4 linked regions of the Alligator mississippiensis genome follow. The protein of the gene in region 1 interacts with the protein of each later gene in a pairwise test. Links are inferred from orthologs where the notes say so. Each region holds a gene or a part of one and is shown in the gene's direction. Other genes may lie near its edges. The genes, in order: UBXN11, RHOBTB3, EIF4E2 and EIF4E.

Region 1 (7,090 bases):
CATGGCAGGGGGTCGGACTTGATGATCTGCTCAGGTCCCTTCTGACCCTACGAACTATGAAACTATGAATCGTGGACAAAGACTCCTTTGCATTAGGTACAGACACACAACAGAAGACAGTTGTCCTGCCACCAAGACCTGCCAACCTAAGACCAGGCAGATGGGATATTATAAAGCAGCTCATCACCCCGACTGGGCATGGAGTCTCAGCACCCCAGCAGCACGGTTGCTACCCAGGGTGTGGGCAATGGAGAAAGGAGAGTTTCACGAGGGAGCTGCAGGAGAGCAGTGCAGTGGCTTCACAGATGGGTATGAGCAGCTCCGCCCCGGTATAACAGGAAAGACCACGAAAGCACTCAAAGGCATGAATAATTAAGGAGGGGGTGATGGAGCTGGCATTGGGGCAGCTGCTGAATGAGAGCTGCTCAGGGGGCAGGGAGAGGCTTTGAAAGTGAAGACAAGCTGAGGGTCTGTTCCATTCACCTGCCCCCCGCTAGGCGCACCTACAAGAGTCCCTTCAAATTTCCAGTGGCTCGAAGGCCATTGGGGGAGTCCCCCATCAAAGTCAATTAGCCACCACCTAAATACCTTCCACTGCCCAGCCCTTGCGCCCATTCCCCTCCTAAAAGTCTGCGTGGAAAAACGTGCCTTGTATCCTGCCGGAAGAGGTAAGAAGTCTGGTCTCTGGCAGGCCAACACTTAATCTAATTACTGGCACTAACGGGGAAGGCAGTGAGCAGAGAGATGAAACCACAGGTGAGTGACACCGGGTTGTTCAGCCTGCCGAGCCGTAGGAGTGAGAGCTCTTGTTTTGATATGTACAACGCACCGAATCCTGCAAAGCCTGCAACGTCGCATCTGAGCTGCTTGGCCCTGTTGCTGGCTTCCAAATAACTGTAACCACACAGGAAAGCGTGCGCACTTTTCTTAGTGAGAACCGTTGCTCTGCACTGCGTGGTGGGAAAAAAGCGAAAAAACCCAAAAAACCCAATTCCAACCCGAATGCTTGGCTGAGAACAGGACGGATGCATTAGTCCCCAGAGCAGGTCACAAATAAACTGCTCAAGGCGGGAGATGCTCTTGCTGGCAAAATGCTTCCAGAGGGCAGGGCTGAGGGGACACCTGTGACACAGCGACAGAGCGGGGCTCGAGACAAGCGACAAAAATGACAGTCCGACACCAGGGTGAGAAGAAGCTATAAAATAGATTGAATTAGACTACGCTACAGGATAACTTCAAAGCAGGCAGGAAAGGAAGGTGCTGTGGACCCCACCCTGCACCTGAGCTCATGGAGGTGGCTCGTGTGTTGCTAATGCAGATGTGGTGGAGGGGAGGTGCGGGCTCCCCCAGCACCACGCGGGCTGCTCTTACCATGCAGAGAGACATGAGGTTCATGAGGAGGAGGGTGCCGACCAGAACAGCCTTTACGTTGTTCATTCTTCTCTGGGTCTCGGATGCGACTTGACTCGTGCGTGGAAGCTGTCCCCTCTGCTCCTCTCAGAACAGAGGCAGCAACTCTTATGTTGCCTGCTAGAGAAGGGAAGAAAGAGCTCACCAATCACGTGTGGGCTTGCTGATCTAGGTCACGCCTGCCCATCCGGGGTGTTGGTGGGACATGTGTTCAAATGTGGCAGGACCTCCAGTGCTGAAGGGACCTGGAGTATCTAAAATCATTTGCTCGAAAGCCCCTGCTAATGTCCCAGCTTCTCGGCGTGAGCCGTGCACCTCCAGCCCTTGGTGGTGACCAGGGTGGGCATGAAGGAGGCTCATGTGCAGAGCCCTAGACTGCAATTCGGGGCTGGGGAAGGGGCTGGCAGTGCTCTGGGCTAGGGTTTGTTATCGGGGGAAGGCTTGTTGCTGAAGGGTGTAGTGGTGTGTTTATCCTCCGAGGGGTTTGTAACGAGGCTCCTGGGATCTGGAGGCTTGGATTGACTCCTGAGAAGAGAGGCAGGAGGACATGGCAGCCAGGGTGGGCCTTCCAGGTTCTCCACCGTGGTCCCATGCCACCAGCCCTCTCAGCTCCCTAGTTTCCAGGAAGCCCTGGTCCCCCCAGAGCACAGGGCCGGGGGGGCTGACACTCCTCTGGTCTGGTGTGAAAAGGAGCGGGTGAACATTACCAGCGGTTTCTCTGCCCTCGCCCACGCCTTCTCCTCAGGATGTCGAAACTCAAAGCAAAAACACCCCAGCTCGCCACGTCCCACTTGGCTCCGAGTGTAATGAAGTCACTGAGTTTCTCACAGGTTCCAGCTAAAGCCATGAACGAGGCCAAGCTCCCTGGAAAGCTGGCCCAGGTTCACTGGGAAGCACGTGAACATCCGCCAAACTTTGGACTGAATTTCCGGCTCATAACAAAGCTCCTTAGTTTCCACTCGAGAGCGAGAGGCGAACTCGAGCTGCAACGCTCAGATTTCAGCTCCGAGCCCATGAAAATCGAGGTGTGCTTTCAGCAGAAAGGAGGATTTAGGGCCTCGCTAAGCTTATCTGAGCACAGGCATCGCCACAAGAGGGGTCGGACCCGACCAGCTGGAGCGTCCCGTCCCGTCCCGTCCCCTCAGCCTCCTCTCCCCAGCTAAGGGGGCTTCGTTTTGCGCTCGCTTCCGTGCCGAGCCGCGCTCGCTGGGCCAGAAAGCAGCAGCCGGCGCCAAGATTGCTGCACCGCCTCATTTACATGGTACTTTCGGATGATTTCTGCAAGGGAAGCATCAAAGTGAAAGTCTTCTGGGTGGAAAGCTGCAGGCCATAAAAGGAGCGAAGCTCGGAGCCCTTCACCCCCCAAACGGGGTCAACGGTCGTTGGGTTGGGGGTTTTTTTTAGCTTTCCCCACACAAAAGGAAACGCCGTCGCCCCAGACCGGAGCGAGACGAGAGGAAGAAACCAAAGGACGGAAAGGAGAGAGAGAGAAACAATGAGAAAACAGGAGACCGGGCCTCTCGCGGGCGAAGGCAAAAGCCAAAGCGCACAGGGCTGGGCCGGGCCGGGCCGACCACAGCAGCGCTCCTTCTTCTGCTTTTTCAGCGGAGGAGGGCGAGAAAAAGAGGCGGGCTCCTCACAGAAACGAAACTCCGGAGGCGACGAAACCCGGGGCCAGGCGCAGCCCACAGGCCGGGCCCCGCTACAGGTTTCGGGACCCCACGCTCGCCCCTGGGGACACACACGGCCCGGCCCGGCCCCGGCCCCGCTCCCCCCGGGCCGCACGGCCCAGCCAGGGGCCGCAGGGCACGAGGCCGGGCCTGGCCGCGCTGCATGACGGGAGCCTCCCAGCCATGTGAGCGCCTCTCAGCCAATCCCCGCGCCCGGGCGGTCACCCGGGCAACCGCCTGTCAACAACATGGCGGCGCCGGGCCGCGGGGGTCGGTCCCAAGCGCCGCCGCAGGCCTGGGGCTGCGGCCGCTGACGTCACTGCCGCGCGCGGCGACGCTCCCTGCCAGCACTGCAGCGGTAGGGGGATGCCTCGTGACCCCACAGCCGCGCAGGGTGATGCTTTCTGATGTCACTACTGTGGCACCGTGGTGCCTCGTGAGGTCACTGCTTTGATGGTGATGCTTCTGACATCACTGCTGTGGCACGGTGATGCCTCATGAGGTCACTGCTTTGATGGCGATGCTTCTGACGTCACTGCTGTGGCACGGTGGTGCCTCGCGATGTCGCCGCCTGTCCTGGCGACGCTTCCCGATGTCACCGCTGGCAGAGTGACGCCTCGCGAGGTCACCGCGTTGCGCGGTGATGCCGCCTGATGCAACTGCAGCCGCGCAGGGCGAGCGCGTGGAGCTCGCGCTGCCCGGGAGGGTCCCGTGAGGTCAGCGCGGCACGGCGCAGCGCGGCGATACCTGGCGATGTCACGGTCTGCGATGACATGCCGAGGGCTGGGTGGAGCGCGCTGGCTTCTGGAGGCAAAGTCCCCGCGGCGCTTTGCTTTGTGCCGACCGACAACGGGCAGCCGTCGTGCCGGAGCTCGCCCCCCGGGGCAGCCTGCGCCCACTGTCCAGGACGGCTGCATCCACGTGCCCGGCCTCCATTCGCACCGTCCCACCGGACCCAGAGATCACAGCAGGAATGGCCTGGCTGGGACCTGCAGCCTCCGCCAGGCTCCTGCTTTGTCTGAACGACGCCGGGTCACGCTCGAGACTCCCCCCGCGCCCGCCCGCCCGGCACGACCCCTCTCCCCGTCCCCGCGCGGGATGACAGATCGCTTCCTAGGTCCGCCGGCTGCCTCATGGTTTCTCTCTCTCGCGTCCAGGCACTCTGCTGCTCTCCATCCCATCCCGCAGCCCGGAGGCGTCGCCTCGCCTTCGTTCCCCGGGATCTAGGGCGGACCGAGTTGTAAGCCATGACGTCCCCTCTCTCCTCCCTGGGAAAGCATCGCAGAGTCCCGCTGCAGCTCCAGAGTCCGGGGTAAATGAGGCGTTACCTTTGCTGTACGCAGCGTGGGGGCTATTGTTTCTTTTGCAGTTTCCATCCTGAGCGCTTCTCTTAAACGTGATAATCGGGGCATGAGGGATGAGTGCCTCCCGGCCAACAGATTCTCTCGTAATACACTTCACAGTCGCGGGCTGCATGGTATAAACATTTTTGAGGCCTTCCTCTGCCCTTGACCTTCAGGGTGCTGAATCAGTGCCTGCTGGAATCAGGAGCAGTTAAGGATTCTCCAGCCTAGTCAGCATTTTACAGAAGAAGGCCCTACAACCCAGGGCTGATAAGAATAGTATCTTAGCTAGTTAACGGCAGGGAAAATCCTGGGATCCTTCATGCTGCTACAGGAGGTATGTGACACGCAGCCTGGTGCATTGCGCCTCTTACCTTCCCCTTTCTGTAGCCTGAAGCAGCTAACCCTGGTGGCAAGCAGCAGTTTCAACTCCTAAGCTGCCCTGCCTTTGCTGGCTGTGTGAACACACTCATAGCAGAGGGGAAAAAAAGCGAAGTGGGCTGCTTGGGTTTGGATCAGTGCCACAAAAGGATAAGCGCGCGTAGGCAGTTGTATTGTACCAACACATTTCATTGTAATTTCCAGGGCTGTTACCTCTAAGCCAGATCACACAACAGATCATTCAGCTGCCTGCTCTGTTTGTACGAGATCCCCTCTTTATTCTTGCAGGAAAAAACCTGAGCCAGCTAAACAGAGTGCCTGCAGTGGTGAGTTAAGATCTTATTATCTTTGAATCCTAGAAAATGAGGGTGGGAAGGGACCTCAGGAGATCACACCTAGTCCAACCCTTGCTCAAAGCAGGACCAGCCCCAAGATCCTGTGCACTAATCTCTATTTTTTCTAGTTGCCACCCCCTTTTTTCTCTCCCCTTCCCACGTGCTGCTGCTCAGAGCGATGTGTGGTTTCCATGTCCTTGCAAGCTTTAGAACAATTTAGATCTCTCCAGTGATTACTAGCTCTTAATTAGGCTGTGTCATCATATTGCCCTTTCCCAGTGCTAATACTTTTCTTCATGTCCCTCCTTGAAACTCACTTCTGTGCAGCTCCTAAGTGATGATCCTTGTCCATGTAATGCTATTGGCAGTTTGTTACTAAAACTGGGCCCCGCCATTTACCTCCTTCAGTCTATCTGCACCTCCCCTCCACCCAACAAAAAGATGCTTTGCCTTGGCATCACAGTCTCTACCCCAGTACAGTTTGGTGTTTGATCTTCATTTAGACTAAAGGCTTCTTGGGGCCAAGGCAGCAGGCAGGCTAAATTGCTCCCAGCTGGATTCTGACCCCTTTGCTTCAGACTGTAATCTAGATCCCTGTCTTCTGACAGCCAGCTCCTGGCTTGTGGCTTTAGTTTGGTGATCGCCCACTTCCTGGTCCCTTACAGCTACAGCTGACTGCTCCAGACCACCTGTCCTGGACCCACTTTTCTTGTGGCTCTGTTGCGATGACCACCTGTATTTCAGTCCCTGTTTCTCATCGTCTGATTCATAGCTTCCTTCCTGACCTTGTCTGCTTCTGATGCCCTGGGTTATGACCTTCTGGGTGAAGCCCTGTCCACCCGCATCCTGCTCTTCCAACAGAACCATATTTTCCTTTGGCTCTTGGACTGTAGTGAGCAGTACGGTACAGGATGCCTGGTTAAATCCTGATGCTCGCACCTTTGAGAGCATTTGCCTGGGGTGAGTTGGGGGTCACACCACTTTCCCTAAGCTTCTCTTTCCCTAATGACAAGGCATGCTTGCCAGTACATGCTGGGTCAGACCTATGGTCCATTGAACCCAGTATCCCAGCACCAACGGTGGCAGGGGTGAATGCTTTAGAGGAAAAGAATTGTACCGGGTACCTATAGAATGATCTATCCCCTATTTCCTGGCATCCGAGGAGTTTAGAGAAGGTGCATTTAAAGATCTGACCTAACTTTTTCTTGCTTTCTTCCTTTGCCTTTTTTCTTCTCAGAGGATGAAGCCGCATTGCTGAATGACATCCTGCCTCCTAGGACAAATGATGCCTTGCCAAGTGAATCCCCTTCCTGTTCAAAGGGAAGAGCAAAAGCGAGCAAAAGTGGTAATGATGCACCTCACGGGACAAGAGTCACTGAGCCATAAGGTAGTGCTTGCATGTGGCTCACCCAGTGACAGTCCTTGGACTCAACACTCATGCCCAGAGTGATTAGTCCTCGATTCATATGCCCAGATGTGACAGTCTGGGCATATGACGTAACAGATGTCCCAGGAACACACACACACACACACAGTGCCTGCTCCAAAGGCCATATATGCACCAATCATGGCCACAGAAGGATTCACGCACAGCACTTACAGGGAATCCATTCATGCAGCCTGAATGGCAAATCGGTTCTTTTACTGAACCTTCAACTCATGTAATGGGCACTGGGTGATCATAAGGGCACTTTTTGGTTGAATTATTCAGAATTAAGATTTTTTGGATGCTATGTTAGACTTCTGCTTTCAGGGGAAGCTCCTACTGACATGGAACTCATGTCCACCATGATGCAGAAAATTATTAAGTTGGAACAAAAAGTTAGGAGCCAAGCCCAAGAACTCCAGCTGAAGGTAAAATTGCCAGCCCGGTTGTTCACGGTGTAAGCCACAATAGGCAGGACCACGTTTGGGTCTAGTTTGGACTAAGGCAGTATAATCTGTAGACAAG
Region 2 (6,893 bases), on another chromosome or scaffold:
GGTCTTCCTTCTCCACAGTATGCAAGATAGATGAATTCACTGTGTCTTTTCTCTTCAGGCCCTGTGGCTGCTAGGTAGTACTGAACGTCCTCCAGTTAGTTCTCTGCTAATATTGCCCAATATCAGAAGAGCAGGTGGATGTTGCAAAACTTCCATAACTAGCTGTCCTTTTACTTAACCTGTGGGTAGATCACTTATGGTGGCCCTTGTCCTTTCACGTGGCTCCGTTGCTTCACTTATTTTCAGTATTCAACTTTTTTTCAGTTTGAATCTCAACTCTTTAAAGTTCTTTCTCATTTGCCACTTCTGTTACCTTGTAGTGACCACCAGCTTCAATAAATGCAGACATACATGAATGAGAAAAGCTAAAAAGCAAGTTTTATTAAGCAAGTTCTACAGATCCCCTGTCTGGCTCTAACAACTGGCTCACTAGCTGCTACCTGAAAAGTGCAGACAGAAATGACATTTTTCAAGTCATTTCAAGATCTGGTCCTTGAAAGTGCTCCACAGCCGTGACTAACACACATGCATGGCTGCAGAGCACTTTTTAAATGGTCGATTGCACAAAAAATTAACCCTGGTTAAATCATGTATTACATTAAGGAGCTCAAAAACAGAGTGCCTGAGGGAATTTGTGTTCCCTCCAGGGTTAATTTTTCATGTGGGGGGCAGAGCTGGGCTGGTGCTCAGTCCCTCACCTGGGCTATCAGGGGGGAGAAGAGGGAGCTGCTGGCTGTTGAATGGCCAGAGCTGGGGGGAGGGAATGGGGAACAGGGCAACCCTGCCTCATGGCTGGGGCCAGGCCCTCCAGGGAAGGGGGCTCCATCTCCTCCCTCAGCTCTAGCCATCCAGCAGCCAGCACAGAGCAACCAGCTGCCAAATGGCCAGAGCCACGGGAGGAGTGTGGAGCAATAGGGCCCCCTTGCTTTGTGGGCCTGACCCGGCTCCCCCCAGTACCCCAGTTAGGATAGCTGTGGGGGCCAAGAAGCAGAAGCAAGGGGGACCAGTTCCCTGCCATTCAGCAGCTGGAAGCTCTCTTGTTGACAGCCCTGGGGGAGGGGCCAAGGCTGGGGAGAAGGGTGGTTTGGCAGCCTCCTGGAAGGCTGCTTGAGCCTGGGCCAGTGCCAGGCTGGCTCCAGCACCCCTCTCCTGATCCAACAGGCAAACGTCGTTGGGCTGGGGGGTGCTCTGACTCATGGTGCTTTATATAAAGTGCCATGAGATAGATTGGGGCCTGTTTAATGTCTGTCTGCACCCTGAGAGACCATCTCCCATTTTCCAACTCCCTCAGTCTCCTGTTTTGGAGCCTGTCTAAATTATAACTTCTGTCACTACACACCCGTCTTGGGGGTCTGTTTAATTTACAAGATATATCAGTCTCAGGCCCAGTAACCCTTCTGTGTTCTGGTCTTTTCATACAACTGAGGTAGTTTCAGAGTTACTCATCCCTAGAGTTCCTTGTTAATTAATTCATACCAGTGGGTCTCAACCTTTTTAGATTCTGTGCAGGCCAGGAGCAGTCCGAGGCTCTCGGGGGCGCGCAGCGGGCTGTGGCCAGCAGCCCTGGCACGCGGGTCGGGGAATGCAGGCCGGCGGGCTAGAATTAGGCACGGACATGTAGCGGTTGATTAAAGATTATTTTACTTACACCGTAGATGGTCGCGGTGCAGGCAGGAAAACTTGCTTGAGTTGCAGTTACAGACAGAAAAGAAGAGAAGAGGACAAGAGTTCCTTCCACGCGAACCTCTAGCCCAATCCGGTTGAAGGCTCTAAACACGCGAGCCCATCAGTGTCAACCGAAGAAAACAACTCGGAGAAAGAGCTCTGGATACACTCACACGAAGTTTGCTAGGCTCCGTGGAACTTGCGCGCAGGGAAGGGGTTCGTCAAGGGATCGTTCGGCGACAGGGAGAGGCCAGAGGTTGATCAGACCCCTATAGCCTTCTCAAGGTACGTGCTGGGTCCGATAGGCTCCGCAGTGCTTAGAGATCTTCACTAGATGTGAAGTTCTCCTCCTGATAGTTGTGGAGTCCTCCAACTTGGGCGGAAACCGCTCAAGCCTCTTATACAGCTAGCAAGCCAATTGCTAGCCGCCACGTGGGAATAATTTAGAACTGGCCAATAGTGGGACACAAATTTGCATGCGGGTGGCGGGAACTCCTTTGCACCGTGCATTTCTCTTTGCAACTGAGAAATGCACCCTGCAAAAAAAGCTCCTTGTGGCGGGAAATAATTTAGCAGTGCCGAAGCGCATGCACACAAAATCACACCCTTGGGTTGTGACAGATTTAAGGTACTTCTCAGAAAAAGTCATCTCTTTTCTTTTACTTGATTTCAGATTACAGAAAAAATACTCTGCTTTAGAGTACCATTTCTCAAACCGTGGGTCGCAAGAATACACGGAGGGGTCACAAACAAACCTAAAAAATGGATCAACAAACTTTAAAAAATGGATTCTCCTTTAAAAAGGAGAAAAACTTGGGAAACTGGCTTTTCCCCTGCAGGCTGGCTGAGTTCCAGGCTACATGGGGGCCCCCCCTGTCCCACACACTGGGGGCCTGGGTGCAGCGTGTCAGGAGTGAGGGGCACTGGGTCAGGATGATTACAAATGGGTCCTGGTACAAAAAGGTTGAGAAACACTGCTCTAGAGGATATCTAAGTGCAATCAGCCTGGAGTCGAAAAACAAGCTGTTACACAAGCAAAAGGCTGCAACTGGTCTCCTGTGAAGGCTCTTCTCATCTGGACTGCCTTTCTCCAGCAGTGCCAGGTCTTAAATATGAAATTATCATATTGGAAACTCTAAATTACTATCTTTGCTGAAAAACTGTTGTACACTGAAAAAAAAGGAAACAAGTCTGCAAATAAGTCTTATTTACTTTCTATTGCTCACTGTATCTCCAGTGAGTGAGTGAGAACTGGGTCATCCAAGTTGAAGCATTTCTGTATTTCAAGGGAAGCAGTCATAAAAAGTACAGACAGCAAACCCTCCCTAGCTTGCTCCTTGGGGCCGAATGGCTGGGGGAAGCAGAACTTGGGGGCATCCGAACCCCAAGCTGCTGGGCTTGGGCCTGCACATAGGATGCCCGCCTAAGGTTTTGGGAACATCAGAAGCCCCAGATGGGGGTGGAGGATGTTTGCCAGTAGTAGGGCCACTTACGGTTCTGGACTGGCCCTCAGATTTGGAATTTGTTTTGGCTAATTTGGCTTGGAATATGGAAAATTTAAATAAATAATGAAAAACCCCAGCAAACCTGAAAGACTCCCAGAGTGCCTTGTGTTGTACATAGGCCATATCAGTTACCTGCTCCGAAAATTATTGGGTAGCCAGGTTGTAGCTGTATTGGTCTAGAGGCAACAAGGAACCCGGCCTCATAGTAGAGGTGGTATGTTTTATTAGACCAACTAGATTTTTGCAAATGTTTTTTGCAGTTTTTTTTCCCCCCAAAAATCTAGCTGGTCTAATAGAAGATTATCACCTCTACCACGAGTCCTGCCTCAAAAAAACCCCGATCGTCCACTTGGAGCATGTATACTATTACTGATCGTGCATTGTACAAGGGCTGGAACAACCATTCAGAGGGGATAATTACCGCCCACCCGGCAACGCCGCCTTTGTGCCCCCTCCGTTGCTGAGGTCCTCTCTAGCCAGTTCAGCAGGGCTGCCTGGCCGCAGATTGGCTGGCAGTGAGCTCATGTATTTATGTAGCTTTTTTTCCCCGTTCTGCACAGCAGCAGCAGTGCACTGGGCAGCCTCCCTCAGCGCAGTCAGCTGCTGCCTTGGCCGGAGCGCCTTTGTCTTTCTGCTGCCCCGGCTGCGCGGTGTCGGCGCTGCAGAAATGTGCAGGCTCCTCATTGCGTGTATTACGCTCTTAGGTAGGGTTTATTGACGTCAGGAGGAGGCAATGGCTGAGCCCGCGGCTGCCGCGCTTGGTGCTGCAGTCCCCTCCAGCAGTAGCAGATGATCCGGGAGCAGGGGCTCGCGCTGCTGCTGTCGCTGTCACGTGCGGTTACACACACTGACTTGCAGGGGCCGGAGCACTGAAGGCCCCCGGGAGGCACTGCACCCCGCGGCACGACTGCTTGAGGTGACATCCGTGAAGCTGCCTGTGGAAATGGAGGAATAAAAAGCCAGAGGAGTTGGGGCTCTATGATGCCGGCAGGACTCTTTCCCCCCTTCCTCTCCTCTTGCTCTCGGATTTGACATCATGTATGTGGTTGATGGCTGGGTTTTTAGGAACGGCTGAAAGAAGAGGCTGGAGAAGCGTTTAGTAGCCTTGTTCTGATTTGAAAGGATCTTTTTTTTTCTTCCCTCCTTTGCTAACAGTAGATGTTTCTCACTTTCTCCTTATTGTTTTAGGTCCGTTCACATTGTAGCCTTTGGCAATGAAAGGGAGGCCTTTTCAGAGGAAAATCAGCAGCCCAGTCTGATTTGGACCTATCTGGGGAGAAGCGCTCTCATTTCAGAGACTGAAAGCAGTTTGTTGCTGAACTCTGCCAGTCACGTTGGAAATCCTGTTTTCACTGAGTATCAAGCCCGCGTGTTTGGAAATGTCAGGCTGGTGGTACATGACTGTCCCCTTTGGGTAAGAATCTAGGGTGAAACTTATAAGCTTAATTTAAAAAAAAATGGAGCTGCTCCTAATTCAATGCGGTTTTTATTGAGTCTGCCAATTTCACAATTGGAAACAATAAACCATTAGAAGTGGATTTACAATTTTAAACACATAATCACCCAAGGATATTCTCCCATAACCAACAAGATGAAAAGCCCCTTAGCAAAGCCACTGCCTACTGACCTATATGAGGAGGCAATATTTTCAACTCGCTTGTTTGGTAAAAACTGCATTGAAAAGAATCCAAAAGAAAACAAGAAACCTTTTGTGTGGCTTGAAAACCAAACTCTCTCTCTGAGTTATCAAAATGTTTTCATATATGCTTTGCTTTACTGCTGTAGGGAAACACTTGGAGAGGGAATCTGTTTCCCAGAAATAGTCCAGCTTTGAAAATTACTGAGACATTTTGTAATGGGGCAATTTGGAGTTATGGTGTATGAATTCTTTTTTTTTTTTTTTTTGTTGGTTCCTGTTTAAATGTGTTGAATTATCAAATGCTGAAAAGCAATTCCTGAGCCAGAAAAAGAGAGAGAAACAGTTTTTGATACTGTTCCATTAATTCAGCACTTCTGTTTGGAAGTAAATTTATTGAATCCTGAGCAAAAATTGACTTGTTACTGACCTTGTGAGTTTAATGGAGAACTGATGGGTTCTCACCAGATTTAATGTTTGTGATTATTTCAGAGCACTGTTCTTTAGGATTGTTGTTTAGTCAGATATACTTAAATTCAGTTTCATAATATTACTTAGAGCCTCGTCTTGAAATCCTTGCACACACAAAATTTCTCTGTAGAAATTCTGAGTGGAAGAACTCAGCGATCAGATGCCTTGTTCTCCAGTGGTAGCCATTGTGCTCTGTGTGTGTGATGACCCGGTCAACTAGAATTGAGGGCCCAGTTTTGAAAGTTTCACCTTGCATAGTATTTGCATGTGTTGGTCTGTGGAACCACACCTCACCGTAAATGCCATTCAATATGAATAAAGGTTGGAGAATGGATGTATAATGAGACTGGAGGATATCAATAGAAGAAACTGGAAGGAGGATTGGTAAAGGTAGGGCAAGGTTGTGTGGTCCTGGAGAGTGTTCACAAATTTCAAATGTTTGATTGACCTTTATCAGTATTTGAACTTCTGAGCTGCTGAAGAGAGAGCAAAATTTTCAATTCTGGAGGCTGTAGGTTTGCAGAAACTAAATATCAGTAGCAGCAGCTTATATTGTTTTGACACCTCCTCCATGTTTCCTGAAGTGCTATACTCTTCTATCTCCAAGCTTTCCCAGCTGGAGCAGATAAAGAGTTTTTAATATAGTGGGTATTTTTTTGCTTACTTGGAGTGGGTAGTTGTATAATTGGGTTCTCTCTACAAAAGGCTGGTGCTTGCTGTGGAAGAGACTGTTTTGGCTTCTTTAGCTTGCTCTTTGGACTGTTACTTAGACTTATATTTGATGACTATGCCTCTTCTGTGGGAATAGGCCTATGGAAATTATAGAGGTGCTCCTGCTTGTCACAGGTGATTTGGGACAGATCCAAATTGTTCTTATAAGCACCTCAATTTAGGTACTGCAACACCTGAGAATTACATACCTTGCCCCAGTAAGGTGAGCCAAACTAACAGGCTTAGGCATCTAGATACCCCCTAGGAAATTAGATGCAGGAGTTAAACCAGGTAGCCAGTATGCTAAGCAGGGAGATATCAAGAATTAGTTAATAGGAAATGCTGGAAATAGGAATGTGAAAACTCCTGCTTGTCTCGGGCTCAGATGCATGACTCAGGGCTGCACAAAAAGTCTTAGGCACTTCCATAAACTCAGGGTCCAGAAGTAAGGTGCCTTCCTGAACAAACACCTAATGCATACTGACTGTTCAGTACAAGATGCAGGACATTAGGGTTGCTCTCAAACACAGCCAGTGTCAGTGGTAGTGCTGGTGGCTGCTTTCTGCATAATAGATTGTTAGTTGGAAATGGGAGGGTGCAGAGCTTCCTCATTTTGAGGGGGCTGGAACCCACAGTTTCCACTTCCCAGGAGAGTGCTGTAACCACTAGGCAAGCCGCAATACAATTCTCTAATCAGAGTGAGTGCTCTTCCTGTTGAAGCTGTCTCTTTGGGCAGGATTGCTGATGTGAATTTTTTCTGAAAGTGCATGGATACTTCTGTCTAGGTGTAGAGGTATCTTTTCAGACCAGAATGAAGATGCAGATTGAATCTCTAGGCAGTTGATTGAATTGTAGACAGTAGAATGGGGTTGATCTGAACCTAAATCTAGATCATCGCCTAAATT
Region 3 (7,865 bases), on another chromosome or scaffold:
AACTTTTAAAGGCCCGATCACACAGTAACACAGTTCTCACAGCCTTTAAGGCAGACAGGGTGTCAAGACAACAAGGTCAATGGCTAGACATAGCCTGGGAAATTGTGGGCATATATGACACTGTTCCATAACATGAGATAAGGTGGCACCAGCTCACAAGGCCTGAGGGTGGGGGCCCTGAGAGTTCTGGTTTTGGGGGAACAGACAAAATTAGGAGGACATTGGAAAAGCCCAAATTAGGATGCGTGCATGTGATGGGCCTGTGAAACAAAGGAATAACCTGACAGGACAGAACGTAGACAGTATGATGATCACAGAGACCAATCAGTGATAGCCACGGATGAAGAGTCATCAGGAGGGAAAAAAATAAAAAAGCAGAAACTTTAGAGCAACAAAGGGTCCCCATCCCTGACAGGGGAACCCAGGGCAAGTTGACAGAGGGAATATGACCAGCCCATCTCATCCACCCCACTGGGGAGAATGCAGGGAAGGGGCCTTGGCCTCCAGCCTCCTGAGCATAATAAGGGACAAAGTTGTATGTATGAACTAGGAATTAATCTGATTTAATCCTGCAATTTACAGTGACTTATTTTGAGAAGCCAGAGTCCATGCTTTGACCAATTTCTTAAATTTTGGTTTCTGACAATTTCTCCCTGCAGAACGAGTCCAAAAAGAACTGGACACTACTATTAGCTCATCTCGTGAAATTCGATATGAGGACCGAATGATCCTACCCTACACAAATGCAGTTTTACATGAAGTTCTGCGGTATAGCAGCATAAGTGCAATAGGGGTTATACGAAAGTGTGCCAAGGATACAACTGTGCAGGGCTTTCCAGTTAGTAAGGTATGCTAAGTATATTACCACACTTCAGAGGTGTTCTCTGGGCAAAATTTGAAACAGTAATAACTCCCACTTACCTTTTTAAACAATAGATGTTTTTTCTGTGTTTTGTGCAGGAATGGTTTACAAGTAAGGTTGAACAATTTGTAAAAAAAACTCTTTATTAAAAATAGGTATTGGATAGGTTGCAGGATAGGTTGTGGACCTCAGTAAGTAAAGGTTAACTCCTGCACAACTTTACCTTTCTTCTGCCTTCAACCTCTAGCCCGCAGGCAGCCCACAAAGCTGTCATACAGCTCACAAGGCTCCCCACAGGTCTGAAAATTTGGCAGCAGAAGAATGGTGGCAGAGTTAATTGCCACTCTTCTCCCAAATTTCCAGACCCACCTCAAATTCTGTAGGTCAGATAACATGGTCTTGCATGCGATAGATCACTACAGTACACAGTCAGATCAAGGTACACAGGGTTGGGCTGGTACATGGCAAGATCCAGGTGCACAGGGTCGGGTTGGGCCAGCACTTAGACAAGTTAGGGCACGTGAGGTCAGGCCGACACTCGGCCAGATCGGGCCACGCGGGGGCGGGCCAGCACTCGGCCAGATCGGGGCACGCGGGGGCGGGCCAGCACTCGGCCAGATTGGGGCACGCGGGGGCGAGCCAGCATCTGGCCAGATTGGGGCACATGAGGTCAGGCTGGCACCTGGCCAGATTGGGACACCCAGTATTGGGCTAGCGTGCTTAGATCGCACATATAGATCAATCCCACACAGGAGCCAAGCCACAGACCAACCCTGTGCCACTCAACTCACCCATGGAGCTAAAATGTTGGGCACTATTGAAACCAAAGGCAAAAATACATAAGTTAAATGGAAAAAGGCACATATTCTAGAATAAAAGGAATTTTACCAATAGAAATATATTCCTTAAATTTATTCCTTACCTTATACCTTCCCAAGCAGATGAGACTTTACAGATAGCTCCTTGGGAGACAGCGAGGAAGATGTCTTTGAGGTCATGCTCCACTGATCGCAACTTTAGAATTGGGTTCCACACTCAGTCTGGGGTGTTTATTTTTCCAGAATTAAACATTCTAATTTTTGGCTGTATATTATCGTCCTCAGACTGTTTGGAATCAATCTTAAGACCTTGCTGCTGAAGTAATTGTTTTAATGAACTATTCTGTAGTATGTGTCAGAGGGTGAACATGTAAGAATTAGCTTGTTCTTGCATTAGGCACTTTTAAAGGGATATGACAGACTGCATTGGGAAGCCATAGGAGGTCCAAGGATGTTTCTGCTGGGAATATTTTTTTTATTTTCTTAAGGAGTTGTCTTTCTTTCTAGGGCACTTTAATTTATCCCAACTTATTTTCTGTTCTGTATGATCCTGACCATTGGGAGACCCCTCAAGAGTTCAACCCAAGTCACTTCCTGGACAAAGGTGGAAACTTTTTGAACAAAGAAGCCTTTTTGCCATTTTCAGCAGGTAACATTAATCCCATTACACCCAGTGTAGCAGGGTACTTGCTCCACAGACTGATATCTATTTAGCCTTTCATCCGATCTTATTTTATAAAACCCAGTAAAGTCTTGAGCTCAGAAAACAAACGTATTATCTCCAACGGCGGATAATTTCTTTCTTTCTTGAAGAAACTAAGACTAACTGCTCTTTGAAGCTTCTTAGCAAATTTATCTGGAATTGTGGTAGCAAAATGTGTTTCCTTGTGGCAGCACTGAATTCTGACAGATACTGAGTGTATTCATATCAATCACATTTAAATGGAGAGCAAGCAAGTAATCAGCAGGATTTAAAAACAGACTGGATATTGAACACGAGAGCAACAAATATCCATGGTAATTTAAGGAAAAATGGTTTTGGAAGGAATGTAAAAACTTACTTTTCAGAGAATAATAGTCCCATCTAGGGGTAGCTACAGCCAATCAACGTATTTTTAGAAGTGTAGAAACTCAGGTTACATTATTAGTAGCTTCTAAACGTAACCTATTTTCCTAGCGTAGGCATGACTTCTAAGACGGGGAACACTGACTTGATCCCATTTGGCAGAGGAGATGGGCGGTCCAGTTGTTAGAGTGCTAAACTAAGACACCAGGGTTCCCCAGTCTACCATAGACTTCCTCTGTGATTGCGGGCAAGTCACTAAGCTTCTCTGTGCCTCAGTTTCCCTCCTGTAAAATGGAAAAATAGCACAGCCTTGTAGTGGTGTTGCAAGAATGAATATGGGAGACAAAACAATGACAGAAGACAAACAGGTGAAATGTATTCTTGTTTTTTTAAACTTTCTGTGATCAGTGCCTCTGGTGCTCCCTACATCTATACAGTATCAAGCCATACTGAGACATTAAACATTGTCATTTATTTCCAATGAATTGTATCCTTCCTCAACTTGGGGGCAGAGGCATAATTCCACTTGCAAGGGTTATTAGATATGTGTGATAAATTCTCCTCTTCACCCTGCAGGACACCGTGTCTGTCTGGGGGAACAGCTGGCAAAAACAAGTCTCTTTATCATGTTCTCCAGTCTGCTGAGAGCATTCACCTTTCGGCTGCCGGAAGGAGTGAAGGAAATCAACAAGAAGCCTATCGTAGGGTTCATTCTGCAGCCCCAACCCTATAAAATGTGTGCTGTTCCTCGTTAAGTTTCTGTCTTCCCAGACACCTGCTGGGAAGTGGTTTTCGGATTCTCGAATGGCATCCTTGGCATTTGGAAACCACTGCTTTGCAAACCCTTTGTCTCTTAACACATTACAGTTGTTGTCTGACCAACAATCCTTGTGCTGAGTCCCTAAAATTCCTTTCAGCGAGCTAACAAACCATGCCTGCTTGTCACACGGATCTCAACATCAAGCCAAAGAGCCACCCCGTCCTTGTGGTGCACGGCACAGCTGCTCGGCTGGAGGGTGGCATGAGCTGGTCCAGAACTACTATTTCCCTAGTAGAGAGAAAAAGAATACAAGCAACCGGGGGCAAATCCGAGGGGTGGGGATGGCTTGCATCGGTGCAGACCAATATGGCTATCAACATAGGCGACTGGTACCTCCAGCCGGGGGGGTTCCTCCAGTTGCCGATCGCCGAGCCAGCGGCGAAACCGGAAGCGTGCTTCCAATTTGCGGCTGGCGCTTCCAGGGAGCACACAGCCAATCCCAGAGGGTGCATGTGCACGCACGTGTACCCCTACACATCGCCAATGGCTACCAAATACACCCCTGGTAGTGCCTGCAGCATTTCTAACCCAGCAGCGACAGAGTCCATATCATTTATGGCTCGTTATAATCTAGACGATCCCTTTTAAACCCTGCCTTCCAGAGGCAATAATAACCCCGTCTTTCTTCACGGTCGTGATGTTCCACCAATCAAACGGTCCTTCCTTCTCCCAATGCCACGGCCTGTTTGCCGCTCCTGGTAGCCAAGCTCCTCTTTCACGGCCCTACACCTCGCTTCTAACTCGGTCCAGTGAAGCCGTACGTGGTTTTTGCTGCGATCGTCGCCTGCGTGGTGCAGCCTGGCGTATCAGTCAAAGCTTCCGGCTGCGTGTTGTTTTCAGAGGGGATGAGGCACCCTGCTCCCCACAACCCCCTTTTCAAAATCTTCCGTCCGCCCAGGCGAGCAGTTGTTAGCCGTGGCTGGTTTTCATTCCCAGGCCGCAGCGCCTCACAACTAAGGCAGGAACCTGCTCCCTCAGAGCACGAACATGAAGCCACGAGCACCCACACGACCGTTGGGGCCACCCCGTTTTGGCGGGAAGGCAGCGGCGCCCTCCAACGGCCGCTCGCGACATCACACGCAGCCCCCCCCAACATGGCGGCTCCCGCGGTGGGTCTGCCACACTCAAAATGGCGCCTGGCAGGGCTCTCCCACACTCAATATGGCTGCCGGGAGGGAAGGTGCCACACTCAAGATGGCGGACGAGCCGCTTTGACATTCCCTCACTATGTGCTCGGCGACTATTGCGTCCCCCCCGGAAACTTGCACCCCGGCGGAAAGGTTCCGCTTCCGGAAGTGGCGCGCGGGCGGGTGACGGGGGCGGCCCCGCAGGAGCGGAAGGACCTGAGGCCGAGGCAGGCGGAGGCGGCGAGCGAGGATGAACAACAAATTTGACGCGTGAGTCGCGCCCCCCCGCCTCGGCTCCGTCCTCGTCCCCCGCCCCCCCGGGGGGAGCCGCGGCCGTTGGTCCGGAGGGGGCGGGGCGCGATGTGTGACGCGCGCGTGGGGGAGGGGGAGGCTTGGGGGGACCTTCCTGGGCCTCAGTGTGGAGGCTGCTCAGACCCAGCCCCTGATTGGCCTTTAGAAACGGGGGCTGAGCCCCCCCCCACCCCCCTCCTTGGTGATTGCATTCACTGCTTGGGACAAATTAACACCTAATGGACCAGGGGGGAGGAGGGGTGGTGGGCGAGCGAGTCCAATGAGCCGCCCCGTGCAACCCTGCCTGCAGGTGTGCGCAGCGGAGGGGCAGGAAAGCAGCCCCGCCGGCCCCGGGGCCTGAGCCCCGTCCTCGCGAGATGATTCGGAGCCTGCAGGAGGCCGGCCGAGGGGTCCCGGGGTTTGGGACGTGGCGGGACGGACGTACGGTCTGACCCGGCACATGGCACTTCTCACCTGCGTCTGATTTTTGGGCTTAAATGGGAATCGACGGGGTAACGTGCCTCGGCTTAAATAGTTATCGGTGGAGTCATATACCTCGTCTTAAATAGGAATCGACGGGGTGATATACCTCGTCTTAAATAGGAATTATGGGGTAATATACCCTGTCTTAAATAATAATCTATGGGGTAATATACTCCGTTTTAAATAATAATCTATGGGGTAATGTACCTCGTCTTAAATAGTAATTATGGGGTAATATACCGTGTCTTAAATAGGAATCTGCGGAGTAATATACCTCATCTTAAATAGTAATTATGGGGTAATATACCTTGTCATAAATAATCTGTGGTGTAGTATACCTCGTCTTAAATAATAATCTATGGGGTAATATACCTTGTCTTAAATAGGAATCTAGGGGGTGATATACCTCGTCTTAAATAGTAATTATGGGGTAATATACCTCATCTTAAATAATAATCTATGGGGTAGTAGACCTCGTCTTTAATAGGAATCTATGGGGTACTATACCTTGTCTTAAATAGTAATTACAGAGTAATAGACCTCGTCTTAAATAGGAATCTACGGGGTAACGTACCCATTATTGGTACAGCTAAGTATTGGATAACAAATGATGCCTGGGCGTTGTATCGGCCACGGGACCTGTGACGGGTGCGGGGCTCATAACGCACCTCCCTGCACGAGTCTCTGTCGGGCTCCCAGCTTCTCTCTGTGTCATGGGGTGCGCGTTGGGTGGCCACATTTTTGCTCCTGCGCAACTTAAGGCTCTCTCTCCTCCCACCTCACGTTCATCAGTTTGAAAGATGACGACAGTGGGGACCATGACCAGAACGAAGAGAACAGCACACAGAAAGACGGTGAGAAGGAAAAGAACGACCGGGACAAGCCCCAGGGCAGCACCAAGAGGAAGGTGAGTGCTGTGCGCTCCACTGCTGTCGTCAAGGCACGGTTGGAGATGCTGGACTTGACGGGGCTTGATCAGTCCAGTAGCTCTGCTGTAAGGAAGATGCATGTCGGCATGTTGTTATTTTGCTTGCTGCTCTGTCAGTGTGGTACTAACAAACTAGGGCTAATGAGCGTACAGTATAATAAGCTGAGCTCGAGTACCCTGTTCACCGGTGCAATTAGAAATCTTCACCCAGTGAGTTGAACTTGTGGAAACAAAAAGCAAAGCTTGACTTGCTTCAGGCAAATCTCAAGAAGTATTTGCAGATGGGAGCTTGCTCTTGGTTTCGAATGGCGGTTCTCAAGCAGGGTACTGTAGCATGCTGGGTGCCATGCAGCCCTTTTAAGGGTGCCCTGAAGTGCTGTGCAATGCTAGTACTGTTAAGTGTGCAAACACCTAGATGCTATTTGCAAGATAAAACCAGACACTTCAAACAGAAACCCAGAGTTTCATAATCTTTCTGCTCTGTTGTGGTCTTTGTGAGCTTTTTGACAAAAAATAATTGCTCTGGTATGTTTTTGTAGTAAAAAAAATGAGTGAGAGCTTAGGAACCAGTGTTTTCAAAGGGGGCCTGGAGTCTAACACAAGGCTGCATCGAGGTTGAAAACTGCTGGTTTAGAAGATCAAGTTTTGTGCTGTTGTTTAAATAGTCTGTCCTTGAAGGGTGATTACAAGCAGATACAGCATGGTTCAGTCAGGTTTGGGAAACCACCTCCTCTCCTTTAATCTTGCGCTCATTAAAACTTGCTCTCTAATTAGTGTAACATCTTTGCATGATCAGCTTGGACCTTTTCCTTCTCCCTTGCATGATGGAACCTCTGTCAGGTTGGTGATTCTAGTGTAACATCTGTTTCTTGGCGACTGCATTAATGTACGCTGGAAGCCTTTTATATAGGCAGTGGCTGTTCCTGGCACTCCCTCTGTCTTTATCTGCCTGCGTGCTGACAGTGCTCTGAGAAAGCTAAATGACTGAACCCTGCCACTGGAATTGTGGTGGAGTATTTCACTTGATTTGGGGTTTAGTTCACTTTAGATGCTTTTTCTTTTCCCAAAAGAGAAGAATAGACTACTCTGTGAGAAGCTCCCGTTCTCTTCTTTGTTTTGCATTCCATGGCCTGTGACAGCCTTGACCGCTGCAACTGTCCTGGCAGCCCAGGGTTAAAGGGAGCCGCTCCAGAATTTATTAATGCCCTTCCTAAATTTGCCTGAGGGGTTGCTATCGGGTGACATTCTTCCTGGGGCTGGGGCTGCTGCCCCTTAGCACTTTCCCTTCCTGCTCGAAGAGCGAAAGTACTCTGGATTTCTAATAACCTCTTTGAAATACAGCCGATCACTGCTGAAGTAATGATCTGTGTCAAGCTATTAACCAGGATGGGATTTTTCTAGGAAAATGAGGCTAAACTGTTCCTTTTATGCTCTGTGGTGGCAGGACCACGTGCCTTTCTAATGCCATGC
Region 4 (7,934 bases), on another chromosome or scaffold:
TTGCTAATCCTCATTTCCCTGTTTTGTGGTTTGATTATCAACAGCCCTCCGAGTAGGTTTACTTACAGGTTTACTTGTGAAGAGGGGAATCTGGTGAGTGAAGAGGCTGAGAATTGACAGGATTAAACCCCATGGGGTTGGAGTCTCTTGTCTCTATGGGTTTAAGTGGGTGCATTAGATTGGGTGCAGTTTACTCTCAAGTAGTTTACTCTTGAGAGTAAACTACTTGAGAGTAAACGCTCCTGGGCAGGCATTTACACATGTAGAGAAGCAGGAGCAGATTTGCTGCTGCTAATGGCAGCAAAATGCTCTCACTTCCTGGGGCCCTGCAATGGGCCCCTGCCACCACTGGAGGAAGCTCTAGGCTTCCCCTGGGTGTTAGCCCAGGGACTGGCAGGGAATGCTGGGCTAAGAGATAGCTGTCTCCCAACCAGGGCAAGAACAATGTCCTCCTGCCCCAGCAGCAAGGAGTCCCCAGCCCCAGCTCCCTGATCAGGGCATTGGACTTGGAAAGAACTGCAGGGCAGGTCCCAGGTCCCAACCCCGACCTGCTGGTAAGGCAACTAGTAGCGAGCCGCCTAGCCAGGGGCTCACTATTAGGTGCCCCCACCAGTGGATTGGGGCAGGGAGCTGGGACCTGCCCCACCCCTGCAGCTCTTTCCAAGCCAGGTGGCTTGATCACCTGATCAGGGCAAGGGGCTGGGACCTGACCCTGACAGGGCGGAGTCCCAGCTCCACAATCACAAGGCAGGGGCTGGAGATCCTGTTCCCTGATCAGCTCTGTGATCATGGAGCTGGGTGGAGAACAAGCTAGAGAGCTTGTTCTCCACCCAGCTCTGCAAACCTGATATTCTTTCTGGAGAAGAGATGCTTAGAATTGTGTAAATATTCTGCATACAATCTAATCAGTGCTGTTGAAAAACTGACTGTAACATCCTTGCTGACAAGATACATTTGTATATTAAACCTAAACATGCATTGAATATTTTGGCTGCCATACTACATGTTGCCCCACTGTATTTCATAAGTAAATGAACAATACATGGAAATTTAACTTTTTCTAGGGAATAGTTTTGTGATAAATCTGGTTAAACTTTGTCAAAATTGGTGAATGTAGCAGCCACCCTTTATTTAGGTTAAGTGTAAGATCCCCTCAAATGGTTAATTGTGTAGTTTCCTGGAAACCAGCTACGCGTGCGAAGTAGCTATCACACAATAAAAAGCTCCAACCAGCAATCAAATTAGAACTCAAAAGTGTGTACTAACTTTATAGCTGGTTGCTATTGAGCTTTAATTTGCAGGTGCAGTAGGACCTCCCTGTAGCTGGGAGCCCCATCAGATGGTGGGGTTCCCAACTGCAGGGATACACCATGCCCAGTATAAAACCTCTGAGCCCTAGGAATCACAGCAGCCACAATCCCCAGGGTCTGGAGATTTCTGGGAATTTCCCACACCCTGGGCCCTAGGGTTTGGGGGTATGGGAAACCACCAGGGGCCAAAGGATCCTGGTGATCCTGGGGGTTACCTATACCCCCAGGCAGGGGGATTACCCTGCAGTGAACCTCTGACCTTGGAGGTTTCCTGCACCCCTGGAGTGGGGAGATCACCGCAGCAGCAATCCTCCAGCTCCAGGGGTGTGTGGGGTGCACCCGGAGCTGGGAGCCCCTAAACTGAGGTGCCTGGGGCTCCCAGCCATAGGAGCTTGCTTCTTGTCAGTACAGGGGGAACCCAGGATTGAGACTGCTTTCCACACTCCTTGTGGGCTTTTCCTGGCTTCATAGCAGTAGAACTCAGAAAAACGAAACTGCTGCCTGTTGCTGCTGTCCCAAATATGCCCCTTTGGGAGGAGTTCAGCTGCCAAGAAGCAATGCCAGAATCTCCATGGGGCTGCTTGAGGGATGGTCCACAAAATGCAGACATCTTTGAGATATGGAGGGAGGTGAATTTATCTCAACCACTTTTTACACAGACACTTGTAAGCCTTGAGTTTCAGAATGGGAGAGAGCAGCTGTGTCACAGGCCACAATGGCAGGAAGACTGTGAGATTTTTTAAATCAAATCTCTCTAAGGCACTGGCAGCCAAATCTTCCCTCATCCAGGAGAGGAGAGAAACTGTAAGGCAGCAAATGGAGATTTATCCCATTGCTTGGTGTTAAGATGCTATAGTGGTGAGCCGCTTAGAAATGCTGTAGACAAGGGGTGTCAAACATAACTGGCCATATGTTTCATGCAGTGCACTGTTAGTCCAATGGGCTCCTGGAAGCTGGGGGAGGGAATAGTGGTGCATAGCCTGCTGCAGAATTAGGAGTCACTGAGCACTATTGGCAATGCGTAGGGGGTGCACGCAGGTGCACATGCATCCCCTGAGATTGGCCATGCACCCCCTGGAAGCAGCAGCTGCAAAACTGGAAGTGCCGGTGGAAGCGTGCTTCCAGTTTCGCTGCTAGTGGTTCTGGGCTTGGCAAATGGCCACCCCCCCAGTCGGAGATCTGGTGCACCCCCAGACTCGGGAGGCACCAGTTGCCTATGCTGGGCACTAATGGACATGGCTGTCAATGATAAAGGAGGCAAGTCAGAGCTATGCAGATACAGCCCTCACTTGCTCCACCACTACCCAACCTGTATCACTGCCCTTGGACGTCTGCCGTCACCACTGGACCTACTGCAGCTACTGCTGGCCCTGCAGATCTGGCCTGGAAGGACCCCTCAGGGTCTGGATCTGACCTGAGGCTCAGGTTGAATTTTACACCCTGCTACAGACAGGCAGAGCAAGGGTTTTTTGGTGCCATCTTTCCTTAGATCAATTGCATAGTTGGGAGAGATGCTTGATGAGCTTCTGGATACCACATGCCCCTCTTCATTGCCCAGAAGCTTGCCTGATATCATCCCTCCCAACCATACAGTCGATCCAAGCAAAAATATCACCAAAAAATGCCTTGGCATCTCCTGGACCAGCTGCAGAGAGTAGGACATGGACTAACGGCTTGACGTCGCAGCAGAGTAGGTTTAAACTGGATATCAAGAAAAATGTCTTCACTGTTAGAACAGTGCGGCAGTGGAACAGACTGCCTAGGGAAGTCTGGACTTCTTATCACTGGAAGTGTTCAAGAGGTTGGACAGCCACTGGTCAGGGATGATCTAGGCGTAGCTATGCTTATGCTCTACTCTGGGTATTTCCCATGCTTCTGGACTTTGCTGGTTGCCCCAGCCCCTGTTTCTGCTACATGTATCAGGGTGTTTTTATGCTTCCGTTAGAGGCATTGGGTGTTGGCAACAGCCAAGGCTGGGGACTTTGGGGTGTGTCACTGCTTCTGTTGAGACCAAAGCTGGAGGTTCCTGTCTAGAGGCTCTTGCTCCGCTGCTCATACTCAGAGCAATCAGTGTATTTGGGGTCAGGAACAAATTTCACCCCCTGGCCAGATTGGTACCCACGGGGATCAGGGGGCAGGGTTTGCCTTCCTCTGTATGGGGCCATGCCCTGCTACCCAGGGTCCCATGAATGTGTATTAACCACCTGATATGGAGGCAGGACATTGGCTGTGCGGTTGCCCTGCTTTACCTGTGGTAGGTTCTGAGTGTTTTGTGCTGTGTCAGGGTCAACAGTGGTCAAGGCTGCAGCTTGTGTGGGGCAGTTCAGACTGGGACACTCCTGCTTCAGGTAGGGGGCTGGGCAGAGTGAGCTGAGGAGGCCCCTTCCAGCCCAGCTTCTGTGGGAGGTCTATGATCTCCCCAAGCAGCCAGGCTACCACAGCACCACATCTCACACGGGCAGCCCAGCCCAGCTGGCCGTACCAGCGTTGCCAGATCTTAACTATGAAATTATTATACTGGAAGCTCAAAATTAATGTATTTGCTGAAAAACTATCATACATGGAAAAAATATGCAAATACATATGCAAACAAGTTTTCTTCTTATTTACTTTATAATACTCACTTTGAGTTGCCAGTGAGTGAGAATTGGCTCATCCAAGTTAAAGCTTTTTTTTAATTTTCTGAGACAAGCAGTCATAAGAAAATGCTGGTATGTGGGCTAAGATCAGCTATAGTCACTGTGTTGGTGTGCTGCCCAACCCAAGGTGGAGTTAAGTGACATTTTGTAGTGGAGGCTGCACCCCTGTCCAATGCGCTGCGGACAGGACACCCTATAAGGGTCTTATAACTAGCTTCCCAGTGGCCAGCCTCCAGTGGGGCTGGGGCCTGCAGGCAGGATGCCCACCAGCAGATCTGGGAGTCTCTGAAGCCCCAGGCTGAAAAGTCTGGGGTGTGGACGATACTTGCTGGTTGTAACACCACATGCGATTGAGGTTTGCTCAATCAAGAGGATTCAGAACTATTTGGCTAATTTGACTGGAATACAAAATAAATAAATAAACAAACCAAAAAACCCCAAACCCAAAAGTCAGTTAAGACTCCCTGAGAATGACTTGGGTTTTGCAGATGCTGCATCGATTCGCTTCCTCAAAAAATATTGTAAATGTGCTAGAGTTCTGCATTTGTAAATTTTGAGCACTTTTACCATTATTGATCGCAAGGGTTGAAATTACCCTACAAACACGATGACTACGGTGCCCCTGGCAACCCGTGCCCGCGGGGCCAGTCCCGCATTGTGAGAGCAGGCGCGCACGGCCCCGCCCCCCGGGCAGTGGGCGCCGGGCAGCTGGGGGCGGCTCCGCCCGCGCCCCTGCAGCTCCCCGACCGGCCGCTAGGGGGCGCGTCCCCTCAGGCTCCGCCTGGAGCGCCGGGCCCATGTGACTGTCTCGGTCCCGCCAGCGCCAGGCAGGGGGAGTGGGTGAAGGGGCCACCCCTTCCCCGGCGGCGACTACACGTCCCAGAAGGCCCCGCGCGCCCCTTCCCCCTCCTCCGCGCGTAGGCGCCGCGGGCCCCCAAACGGCCGCGCGCTTCACGTGACCCCCCGCTTCGGCCAATTGCGTTTGAACCTGGTTTGCCATCCGCCCCCCCCCCCCCCCGGCCCCGCCCCGCGCCGCTGGTGCGAGCGCAGCGATCTAAGATGGCGACGGTGGAACCGGTGAGTGTTTCATTCCCTCCCGGCCGGGCCCGGTCCCTCGCTGCCGCGGGCCCGGCCACGCCGCGGGGAGGTCCCGGGGTCGGGCCGGGCCGGGCCGGGCGTGGGGGAGGGGAGCGGGACGGGAGGCGCCAGCGGGGGCGGCGGAGGGGGGGCGGGGGGATTCCGAGCGCGTGAGGTCGGCGCGGCGCGCGGGACTTGTGCCGTCACCGCTGGGCCGGCGGGAGGGGAGGGGAGGGGGGGGGGCGCGTGAGCCGGTGGGGAGGGGGGAGCGGAGGCCCCGGCGGTTCCTGCCGCCCCGCCCGGCCACGGGGAAGCCGGGGCGGCCCCACGCGGGCGCTTCCCCGGCCTGGCCGGCGCGGTGCTTCCGGCGCCTGGGGGGGTGGGGGTGGTCTCCGCCCACGGGGGGGCCGGAAGGGGCCGGGGGCGCCCGCCCCCTCCCCCCTCGTCTGCTCTAGTCTGCGCCGCATTGGCGCGCTGGGCCGGGGAGGCCGTGTGCGCTCCGTCTGCGCTGGCGCCGGGCCGCACGTGGCGGAGGTGCGGGCTGGAGAGCGCCAGGCAGGATCCCGCCTCTTAGCAGGAGCGCAGGGGCCGCGCTGACCTTGTCCTGCGGGAGCGAAGTCGGGCAGCGCTGCCCCGTGGTCTGGAAAGGTTTAACCCCCCATCCCCTTTTTTATCCTTTGAGCTCTTTTTTCTATCTCAAAATCCCAATTTAAATATTCTCTCAGCCCTCCCTGCCAGGAGCCGCTGCTGCTGTCTGTGCGCCATGCAGTGGAATCTTAGTTATACCATTGCTGCAGCTGGGGGATTGGGCCGAACAGGGCTGGGCAGGGGAGCCTGGGAGAGGTGCATGGAGTCACTGTTTTACTGGCTGGGTATGCACACTGGAGCCTGCCGTTAGGCATGGACTGCTTTTTACAAGTCAAATAAAATCAATCTTTTAAAAGGGTTGTCATCAGTTTGTTGTCTTATTTAACAAAAAGTAAAGGGCAGCGACTTTGCAGATGAAAAGCATTTTAAGACTTCACTGAAAAGATCTTGTGTTGTACTCCTGTGAAATAATTGGGGGGGGGTCCACCTGTGTGTATGCCTGTGTCCCTTTTTCCAGGCAACAGATTCCTCTAAGAACAAAAATATCGTTAAAATGGAAGATAAAAGATGACAGTTAAAATTTAGTGCATACAAACAGTGTTTGCCTACCAGCTCTCAAAAACAAGGTAATTCACTTACCGGGAAAACTGGAGCAACAGACAGTGCAGGTGGCTTTCTCCATGTAGCCTAGTCACTGTCTTCTGTGTTTAATTTGGGAGTCACCATCCCTCTAAGGTTATGTTCGTTCAGTTCTTTGCAGTGACTGTCAACATCACTGCTTGTAATGATGACTGGACAGCCACTGGAGACTGAACTGAGACCAAGCATATTTAATTTAAAGAACCAAATAACTATCCACCGCTCTCGGTTACCTTTTTCTATCTGAGTTAAAGGGTCTGCCTCTCTAATCTCCCTTCTTTCATTCCTGACGTGCTTTTTTCCCCAACTTCCTAGGCCCACCTGACATCTCAGCTGTGCGTGTGTTTATAAAGTGTCCAGACCAGACAGTGTTGCCATAATAGACATAATTGAAATGTATTTCGCTGTGGTTCAGATTAAAGTGGGAAGGGTCTTTTGAGCAGGTAGAGGGGGAATGTCTGCTATTGAAACTTTTAGAATTTGAATCTGGGTACATAGAATCCTTCCTTTTTCTGCAGTTCTGATGTTTTCTCCTCTGTTATAATGGAAGCATTTTATGAAGCTGCCATGTGTCACCACACTTCTCTGGAGTTGGAGAAAGAGAACTTCTGTAAGGAGGATATGGATGGTGGGTGGGACAAGAGTGCACTGCCCTGTAGGGGGATAAGGCCTCCAGAAGAGAGGTGAACTAGATGCTAAAGCAATGTTGGTTTCTTTTTCTTGAAAATACTTTTAAAGGCAGTTCTCCAGTCTTGAAAACCTATGAGGTACAATGTAAAATCATATTTCACAGAGTCTCAAATATTTTTAACATGGGTTTTTGTTGTCCATTAAGCCACCTAATCATGTATCTATAGAAAGATGGTTCAAAGGGCCTGGCTCCACACATGCACCGACTGAATTACACAGTATTTCCAAATATTGTTATCTTGCATTTTTCCAAATATTGTTATCTTGCATTTTTAAAATGTAGTAGTTTTGCAGCTTAGAATGAACTTTTGTCTGATAAGAAAAGGACTATTACATTCTATTAGAAAAGTTCACACGTTTTGGTTATTTTTTTAGAGTTCAACAATAGCTTCCAGAAAATAATTGTAAGGGCAAAAAAGGCTTTTGTCCTAATGCAATAAATATTTTAGGTGAATACCATGAACATTTTATATAAATCAGCTTGGACCTTCCATCTCCCAAATCGTAAATAGGTTTCATTCTGCTCATTATTCTTTAACTTTTTGTTTGATGTACATGCCAGTTGCTTTGGTATAGTGAACTAATTGCACTTTCTGAACTGAACTCTTGGCTGAAACTGCTGAGGTCTGTTTAGCTCTTTCTAGTTTTGAATAGGCATGTATAAAATTAGATACCAAGTATATATAGTATCAAGGCCCATGATACTTTCATGACTGAAATGACTCTTCTTGTAATAAGTTAATTCAAAAGGTCAGCAGTTAAGTTGAGGTATAACATTCAAGGTGCTAGGTATTTTGCCAAAATAGCTGCTAAAATTCCAGGTATATCTACAGCCTCTTTCTTTTTTGTTCATGGAAAAATATAGTGAAAAATTACATATAGATATAGACGTATATCTTAGCTGCCACTGCAAGGCTGGAATTTGCCTTCATCTCTTTTCATAGATTCATAGATGTTAGGGTCAGAAGGGACCTCAATAGATCATCAAGTC

What was found.
Region 2: the proteins of UBXN11 (region 1) and RHOBTB3 interact in binary tests that used the Homo sapiens proteins (3 or more experiments, as listed by UniProt). The two-hybrid records come from large-scale screens. The link is inferred for Alligator mississippiensis from reciprocal best matches to the Homo sapiens genes UBXN11 and RHOBTB3.
Region 3: the proteins of UBXN11 (region 1) and EIF4E2 interact in binary tests that used the Homo sapiens proteins (3 or more experiments, as listed by UniProt). The two-hybrid records come from large-scale screens. The link is inferred for Alligator mississippiensis from reciprocal best matches to the Homo sapiens genes UBXN11 and EIF4E2.
Region 4: the proteins of UBXN11 (region 1) and EIF4E interact in binary tests that used the Homo sapiens proteins (3 or more experiments, as listed by UniProt). The link is inferred for Alligator mississippiensis from reciprocal best matches to the Homo sapiens genes UBXN11 and EIF4E.

What each region holds. Positions count from the first base shown.
Region 1 is NC_081829.1:3,174,458-3,181,547, forward strand, and holds the start of UBXN11 (UBX domain-containing protein 11), read left to right. Parts: upstream 1-4,075; 5' UTR 4,076-4,327; coding exon 4,328-4,392; intron 4,393-5,008; coding exon 5,009-5,130; intron 5,131-6,376; coding exon 6,377-6,484; intron 6,485-6,892; coding exon 6,893-6,993; intron 6,994-7,090. UniProt on the Homo sapiens protein: May be involved in the reorganization of actin cytoskeleton mediated by RND1, RND2 and RND3. Promotes RHOA activation mediated by GNA12 and GNA13.
Region 2 is NC_081826.1:239,081,144-239,088,036, reverse strand, and holds the start of RHOBTB3 (rho-related BTB domain-containing protein 3), read left to right. Parts: upstream 1-3,880; 5' UTR 3,881-4,206; coding exon 4,207-4,208; intron 4,209-4,358; coding exon 4,359-4,584; intron 4,585-6,893. UniProt on the Homo sapiens protein: Rab9-regulated ATPase required for endosome to Golgi transport. Involved in transport vesicle docking at the Golgi complex, possibly by participating in release M6PRBP1/TIP47 from vesicles to permit their efficient docking and fusion at the Golgi.
Region 3 is NC_081830.1:84,413,530-84,421,394, forward strand, and holds the start of EIF4E2 (eukaryotic translation initiation factor 4E type 2), read left to right. Parts: upstream 1-4,854; 5' UTR 4,855-4,943; coding exon 4,944-4,963; intron 4,964-6,259; coding exon 6,260-6,374; intron 6,375-7,865. Other genes in the region: cytochrome P450 2J5, read left to right, coding at 660-847, 2,188-2,329, 3,323-3,501. UniProt on the Homo sapiens protein: Recognizes and binds the 7-methylguanosine-containing mRNA cap during an early step in the initiation. Acts as a repressor of translation initiation.
Region 4 is NC_081825.1:160,612,217-160,620,150, reverse strand, and holds the start of EIF4E (eukaryotic translation initiation factor 4E), read left to right. Parts: upstream 1-4,932; 5' UTR 4,933-5,008; coding exon 5,009-5,026; intron 5,027-7,934. UniProt on the Homo sapiens protein: Acts in the cytoplasm to initiate and regulate protein synthesis and is required in the nucleus for export of a subset of mRNAs from the nucleus to the cytoplasm which promotes processes such as RNA capping, processing and splicing.